Linked DNA regions of Saccharomyces cerevisiae S288C. The protein of the gene in region 1 purifies or fractionates together with the protein of each later gene. This does not show direct contact. Each region holds a gene or a part of one and is shown in the gene's direction. Other genes may lie near its edges.

Region 1 (3,794 bases):
TCTATCCTCCTTTCTTCAGCTTTTTATATCGCTCCGATAAGAAAAATCGGTGTCGTGCCTTAATATATATCAATGCTATACGTCATAGAGTAGAGTCGTATAGTGTATAAGAGTAATATATAGATGATAAAGAGAACTTACTCATCACCCTCTGCACCAAATAGCATCATCATATCGAGATCGTTCTGGTCGAGTGTTTCCTCTGCGGGGGCTTCATCAAGTTCGCGCACCACCTTGTTCTCTTGTATGTGTTCCCGTTCATGCACATTATCCTCGTCCTCATCGTTTTCTTCGTCATCCTCCTCGTCTTCGTCCACTTCATCCTCTTCCTCTTCTTCTTCCTCTTCCTCTTCTTCTTCCTCGACGTTATTTGCAGTTTCTGCGTCAGAGCGATGTTGATGTTGTTTCTGGACAGAATCTTCGGTTTGTTGTAACTGCTTACGTTTTAGTTCAGCCTCCTTCTCGAGCTTTTTAATGCTATCTATGAACCTGCTTTTCAAAAGAGGATTCGTGGCTTTACTTAATTTATGCTTGGTATGGGCCAGGGTGGTCTCTAGTTCGTTCAATTCGTCCGCAAGTAATTCAGTGTGCTGTCTGTTTTCGTCTTTTTCGTCATCAGATTCACTTTCCCCACCAGCAGCTTCAATGTCACCGTCGTCATCATCGTCATCATCTTCTCCGCCTGTGTCTTGATCCACCTCATCACCGACTTCCTCTTGTTGTTGCTCCTTGTCTCCCTCGGCACCGCTACCTTCCTCTTCACTTTCAAAAGCAGCGCCTAGGTCAAGATCCTCCTCTTCTTCTTCTTCCATTCCTTCTTCTCCCTCTTCTTCTGCACCTTGTTTTCCTACTGCCGAAGCAATTGTGTGTATCTCTTCTTTCTTTAAAGCAGGTCTAGATAAAGGCTCTCCAGGCTCCTCTTTGAAATTTTCCCAACTAGAAACACGCTCTTGCCTCGCTTGCAGTTCACTTTTATCAACCAGATCATAGCTGACCTCTTCTGCCTGTTTATCTTGCTTCAAAAGCATATCAACCACTTTTTCTACATAGTCTATTTCATTAGGGTCCATTTTCCGTCTAAATCGTCTATTTCGAACATTGTACAAAGGTGGTGATATTCCATGTTTGTAGTCATAGCCCTTCAAAGCTATTTCTTTCAAATGTTTAGCCTCCATATCACTTAAAGGCGCACCATTGTATCCTTTTAAGAAGGTTTCTTTATTCTCCCAAATTTCATCCTCTATGCCTTCAAAATGCTTAACAACCAGATCTTCTGTATCAGGGGCTTCTAGGGCATATACTTCTTCCTCTTCTTGTATAGGTCTTATGCATAGTAGCATTTGTGATACGTCAAATGTCTTCAGGAGGTTTTTTCTATCGACGCTCTTGTTCACTTCTATAACTGTAGGCAAATCTACTAGAATGGCACCATACATTACATCGTTTATTGTTACGACAGCGTGTCTCTCGTTTTTCCACTTGATACTTATCCCAGAATAATCACCTGATTCTAACGAATTTTTTACAAACTCTAACTGTATGTCTGGAAGTATCCTTAATATCACACCACTCTCTATGAGAGGGTCATCTTCAATATCAGAGGCTTCTGAGTCGTACGCTTCCCCAGGAATTCTAATAGGTTTGAGACGTAGCTTTGGCGCCTTGTGTATCTTCTTAACTGGTTCTTCATTTTTTTTCAAGTTTAACTTTAACTTCAATGAATTCTTCTTCTCTTTGCCGTCAGCACTCTCTTTCTTTTTCTTTAGGTTTATCTTTAATTTAGGCTTTGGTTTGATATCTTCATCAGTTACCTTTGTCTTTATGCGAATTCTCTTTAGTTTAGGCTCGCCTTCTAATGGTTGATCCTTCTCTCCTGGTCCTCTGGGTTTTTTAATTCTTATAACAGCCATATTTACGTCGATTATTGCGACTAATTTGAATGGTAACACTGTCTCTTGTTTATGTAGTTCTTCCTATTCTTCTCGCTTTTATTATTTTTGCTAGCAAGTTTTGTCTTGAAATTTTATTTACTGTTCTCATCGGCCGAATAACAGCGATATTATTGTATGATGATAATAGAGATGAAACTTTACAAATGCGGTTACTACGTCAGTCAATACCATTCTTTGAAGTAAGAAGGCTCAGCAACTATGTCTGTTCCAATCCCTGGTATTAAAGATATCTCCAAACTTAAGTTCTTTTATGGTTTCAAATATTTATGGAATCCAACAGTATACAATAAAATCTTTGATAAGCTGGATTTAACTAAAACGTATAAACATCCAGAAGAATTGAAAGTACTTGACCTCTACCCTGGTGTTGGTATACAATCAGCTATTTTTTATAATAAATATTGCCCCAGGCAATATTCTTTATTAGAAAAACGCTCAAGTCTCTACAAGTTTCTGAATGCAAAATTCGAAGGGTCTCCATTGCAAATTCTAAAAAGAGATCCATATGACTGGTCAACCTACTCGAATCTAATTGACGAAGAGCGAATATTTGTTCCTGAAGTTCAATCCTCAGATCATATTAATGATAAATTTCTAACCGTTGCTAATGTGACGGGGGAGGGTTCTGAAGGTCTTATAATGCAGTGGCTGTCCTGTATTGGAAACAAGAACTGGTTGTATAGGTTTGGTAAAGTAAAGATGTTATTATGGATGCCAAGCACAACAGCTAGAAAACTTCTAGCTAGGCCAGGCATGCATTCTAGATCCAAATGTTCAGTAGTAAGGGAGGCATTTACAGATACTAAACTCATTGCCATATCAGACGCAAATGAATTGAAGGGATTTGATAGTCAATGCATAGAAGAATGGGATCCCATTTTATTTAGTGCTGCGGAAATATGGCCTACAAAGGGAAAGCCAATTGCGTTAGTAGAAATGGACCCAATTGACTTCGATTTTGACGTAGATAATTGGGATTATGTCACGAGGCACTTAATGATTTTGAAAAGAACACCCTTGAATACTGTCATGGACTCGCTGGGACATGGTGGCCAACAATATTTTAATAGTAGAATCACTGACAAAGATCTGCTAAAAAAGTGTCCGATTGATTTGACAAATGACGAGTTTATATATCTAACGAAATTATTCATGGAGTGGCCTTTCAAACCAGATATTTTAATGGATTTTGTTGATATGTATCAAACAGAGCACTCTGGTTGAAAAAAGTGCTTTTAAAATTTACTTCATTATTTAATAAATATGTGATTTTAGCGTGTGAATATAAAAAATACATAGAACTCAATCTTCGTTAACACGGAACCATCTTGTAATCAAGAAGCGAGAAGCGGAACTAAAACTTTAAGAAAAGGAGCTCTACGAACCGTCAAAGCTAAATTGATCGATAGAAATTGCTTCTTGAAACTTTACATTCTATGTACTTTACAAATATACTTTACAAACTTAGCCATTTATATTACTTTACAGTTAAAAATCCATCAGGAATTATTCGTCTGCTTTTTGAGATTCATGGCTAGCGACATACTCAGTAGCTTTAGCTTTAACGTATTCAATGGTCTTTTCGTCACCTTCAGATTCCTCAAATTGTAACCATTTATTAAAGAAAAACTTAGCCTGCTTCCTTGTTATTTTTTTGGTTATTATTCTCTCAAATAAATCTTCCACCTTCTTCTTATCTTTTGCCTTCACTTCCTGGTCTACGTAAACGTTCCACAGGTCAATTCTCTTTGGCGCATCAGCAACCAAACCTTCGAATAATGACCGACCCCTTTCTGGGTCACCCTTTGCAAATTCTAATTGAGCAAACTTGCGGACAACCTC
Region 2 (3,999 bases), on another chromosome or scaffold:
CACTGAAAACAAATACAATAGGTTCAACGACAAGCATTTTTAAAGGCCTTAAGATTGTAATAGTGACAGTGGTTTTTAAAAATTCTTTCTGAGCTTCCCTGCTGAACTTCTTCAAGGCTATATTTCTCTTCTTGGCACGCTTTCTTAAAATAATACCTTTATGGGTCTCTGGCATGAGCGCAATAAATGGCAAGATTAGACCGCCCGCAATCAATTGGATCCATTCAGACCAACGCCAGCCTTTGGCTTCAGTAGCAAATCCTGCCATAATAGGAGATAAAACTGGCCCTAAGAATGGAGATAGAACAAAGTATGTCATTGCGACGGAGACCTGGTCCACGTCAAAGATATCCAGGATGGTACCTGATCCAACGGATAAGGCGGGGGATGCAAAGACACCTGATAAAAACCTTAGGGGTAGAATTATTCTCATGTGGCCATTGGATAACCCAACACCCATGGTGAAAAGCATTGACACAGGTAGGGAAAATAAATAGACAGGCTTACGACCAAACACTTCACTTAATGGAGCGCCGATGACAGTCGATAAACCCAGAAGATAGAAAGTTAAACCAGCAAGCGCCAAAGTCTGACTAACGTGATATCTTTCTACCAATTCTGGTACGGAAGAAACATATAGGGAACTACCCATTGTGACGACCAAACAAAGAAAAGCTGAAGTCATAGTAGTATACCATTTCTTCAAAGAGGACCAATTATGCGGATTGTCTGGGTCATCGGGCCCGTCCCAATCGAGATCTCTTGGGTCAATTGGCTCGCCCCCTGTCATGTTATTGGAATCTGCATTCGGTTCTGATCTTTTTTCGTCCTCTGTTATTGACCCTGTCGAAGAAGAAGTCGAATCCAAGTTGCCGCTATTAGTTACATTTTTGTCCAAGGCTTTTGGTACCTGCTGTATGTTTGTTCGAGGATCTGAGTTAGATTCGGTTTTTGTCAAAGAAGAAGGCATTAGTAAAACTTAAAATATATGTATACGATGTCTATGCTTCTTTGTGTGTGTATGTGTGTGTATAAGATGGTATCTTTATTCTGTAATTTTCAGGAAAGTGATGACTAGAAAATCGATGTGTCAGGTACAACAAATTGACAACCTATAACTTTCCATACAGGCGAATATATATATACACATAAACACATTCAAGCCTCCGGTACCGTTTGCTCTGACAAGGACAATTAGCATGTAAGCACGAGTGCGGGTATGCAATCATTTCAGTGTTTCCTTCATTTGGCATAGTGTCGTAACACGGATTTAAGGTGAGCCGTCAGGGGCTTTTAAGCGGAGCCCCTGCAGCTTCATGAAGACGGAACCGCACGGGCCTATTACCTCGGGGATAGATCAATTATCCGAAGCGGGTCACAACCCGGAAATAATAACCACTATGCCCGACCGTACCGACGTGGCACTATTTTTGGGATCCGTGGAAGTCGGCCATTAGTGGTAATCGGCGAAAACAAGTTTATTGCAGCTAAAGCACGCCATACGGTTGATATAAACAGCAATTAGGCACTTTTTCTCTTATTATTCATATGCCTTATTGGCTTGTGGCTTGTGGCTTGTAGCCTATGCAAATGCATTTGCTGATAGCAGCATAAGAAAGTTGGGAAGAAACGCTAACTGTACTTTTTATATCCAGAGTTCATTAGTTGATCTTTTACCCCAATAATTTCTTCCACTTGCGGCCTGCTTCTTCGCATTTCTCCCATTCCGGGCCGCGACTCCGTAGTTCTTACAGAAACAGCCGCCTCCATAACCATCTATGATAGGAAAAAGATGGACAAACAGGAAAAGAGCTAGGGAGTATAACCTGATTCCTGACATGTATAGGATTCGGGTAATTTTGAAATACGAAGCTCTTTGCATTCCGAGACCGGTTTAGGAAGATTTATTTACATATCTACTTGCGCTATTGTGGTCATGCCTTCGAAAGATAAAGAGCGAATTTTGCTCGTATAAGCTAAAATCAGGTAAAAGTTCCTTATGTTGCTGCTCCTCGATGGCAACGTCGATCTAAGATCTTGATTACTGAATCAGGCGAAAGCACACGTTCATCTTTCGCTCATCGGAAAGAAAATTAAAACAGAAAAAAATTCTAAAATGGCAAAAAAGAAGAAAAGCTCAGTGAGGGCTGTATAGTTTATTAGATAAGCTACTATACGTACATATCTTTTGTAAATAGAACCAAAAATCTTCATGCTAAAGGGACCGCTTAAAGGTTGCTTAAATATGTCTAAAAAAGTTATAGTGATTGCTGGTACAACAGGAGTAGGAAAGTCTCAGTTGTCCATACAATTGGCACAAAAATTTAATGGCGAAGTTATCAATTCGGATTCTATGCAGGTATATAAAGATATTCCTATTATAACAAATAAACATCCGCTTCAAGAAAGAGAGGGCATTCCTCACCATGTAATGAATCACGTAGATTGGTCAGAAGAATACTATTCCCATCGTTTTGAAACTGAATGCATGAACGCTATTGAAGATATTCACCGGAGGGGTAAGATACCCATCGTTGTTGGGGGTACTCATTATTATTTGCAGACTCTTTTCAATAAGCGGGTCGATACGAAATCATCCGAACGTAAGCTCACAAGGAAGCAGCTCGATATTTTGGAATCGACTGACCCTGATGTGATTTATAACACACTTGTGAAGTGTGATCCTGATATAGCTACCAAATACCATCCTAATGACTACAGGAGGGTACAACGAATGTTGGAAATCTACTATAAGACGGGCAAAAAACCAAGCGAGACATTTAACGAACAAAAAATAACTTTGAAGTTTGATACCCTATTTTTATGGCTATACAGTAAGCCGGAGCCACTTTTCCAAAGGCTTGACGATCGTGTAGACGACATGCTAGAAAGAGGCGCCTTGCAAGAAATCAAGCAATTATATGAATATTACAGTCAAAATAAATTTACGCCGGAGCAATGCGAGAATGGTGTTTGGCAAGTTATTGGCTTCAAAGAATTCTTACCGTGGCTAACCGGGAAAACTGATGACAACACAGTAAAATTGGAGGATTGTATAGAAAGAATGAAAACGAGAACACGTCAATACGCAAAAAGGCAGGTAAAATGGATCAAGAAAATGCTGATACCTGACATCAAAGGCGATATATACTTACTGGATGCCACTGACCTTTCTCAATGGGACACGAATGCATCTCAAAGAGCGATAGCTATTTCCAATGACTTTATTAGCAATCGACCCATCAAGCAAGAAAGGGCACCTAAAGCCCTAGAGGAGCTGTTGTCTAAAGGCGAAACTACGATGAAGAAATTGGACGATTGGACACATTATACTTGCAACGTCTGTCGTAACGCAGATGGTAAGAACGTTGTAGCTATTGGCGAAAAATATTGGAAAATTCATTTGGGTAGCAGAAGACATAAATCCAACTTGAAAAGAAACACTCGTCAAGCTGATTTTGAAAAATGGAAAATAAACAAGAAGGAGACTGTGGAATGAAAATATTAGGAAAAAGGAGTTTATCCTGAGTGTATATATCTACATAAGTGAAGCTGGGTTTTGATAATGGAAAGGGAGGATGACAAGCTCAAAATATACTTTATAGATGAATGAGGACAGGTATCATTGGTCTTCAAATGTCAAACTCTTATCAAGCCTAGCTTTTTCTGCTCTTCTTGCTGTATCATATTCCTGTACCTCATTGTACAGATTGCTGGTAGAAGTAATTAAATTTTCGTAAAATGCTGTGCCGGCACTTAAATTTTCTTTCACCTCATCAAGCAGTTTGAAGGAATATCTCAGATCTTCAATATATAGCTCTCTGGGATCTATTCTTACCATTTTCTTTGGTTCAATCCCGCTTCTGCCGGGGTTATTCTTCTTACTTAGGTTTACTTCCTCAATAAGTTTGATATTTTCTTCCTTTGTACTATTAACGTATCTTAAATCTTCGTCAAAGTATTTTAAATGGCCTATGAAAATGGGTTCAAAGTCGACTG

Evidence for each region.
Region 2: the proteins of MTF1 (region 1) and MOD5 fractionate together in Saccharomyces cerevisiae (co-fractionation; one large-scale study listed by BioGRID). This does not show direct contact.

What each region holds. Positions count from the first base shown.
Region 1 is NC_001145.3:722,476-726,269, forward strand, and holds MTF1 (RNA polymerase specificity factor), read left to right. Parts: upstream 1-2,150; coding exon 2,151-3,176; downstream 3,177-3,794. Other genes in the region: TATA-binding protein-associated factor TAF7, read right to left, coding at 138-1,910; RRP5 (Rrp5p), read right to left, coding at 3,459-3,794. UniProt on the Saccharomyces cerevisiae protein: Mitochondrial transcription factor that confers selective promoter recognition on the core subunit of the yeast mitochondrial RNA polymerase. Interacts with DNA in a non-specific manner.
Region 2 is NC_001147.6:835,462-839,460, forward strand, and holds MOD5 (tRNA dimethylallyltransferase), read left to right. Parts: upstream 1-2,212; coding exon 2,213-3,499; downstream 3,500-3,999. Other genes in the region: TPO4 (Tpo4p), read right to left, coding at 1-970; RIM20 (Rim20p), read right to left, coding at 3,623-3,999. UniProt on the Saccharomyces cerevisiae protein: Catalyzes the transfer of a dimethylallyl group onto the adenine at position 37 in the anticodon loop on a specific subset of tRNAs both in the cytosol and the mitochondrion, leading to the formation of N6-(dimethylallyl)adenosine (i(6)A).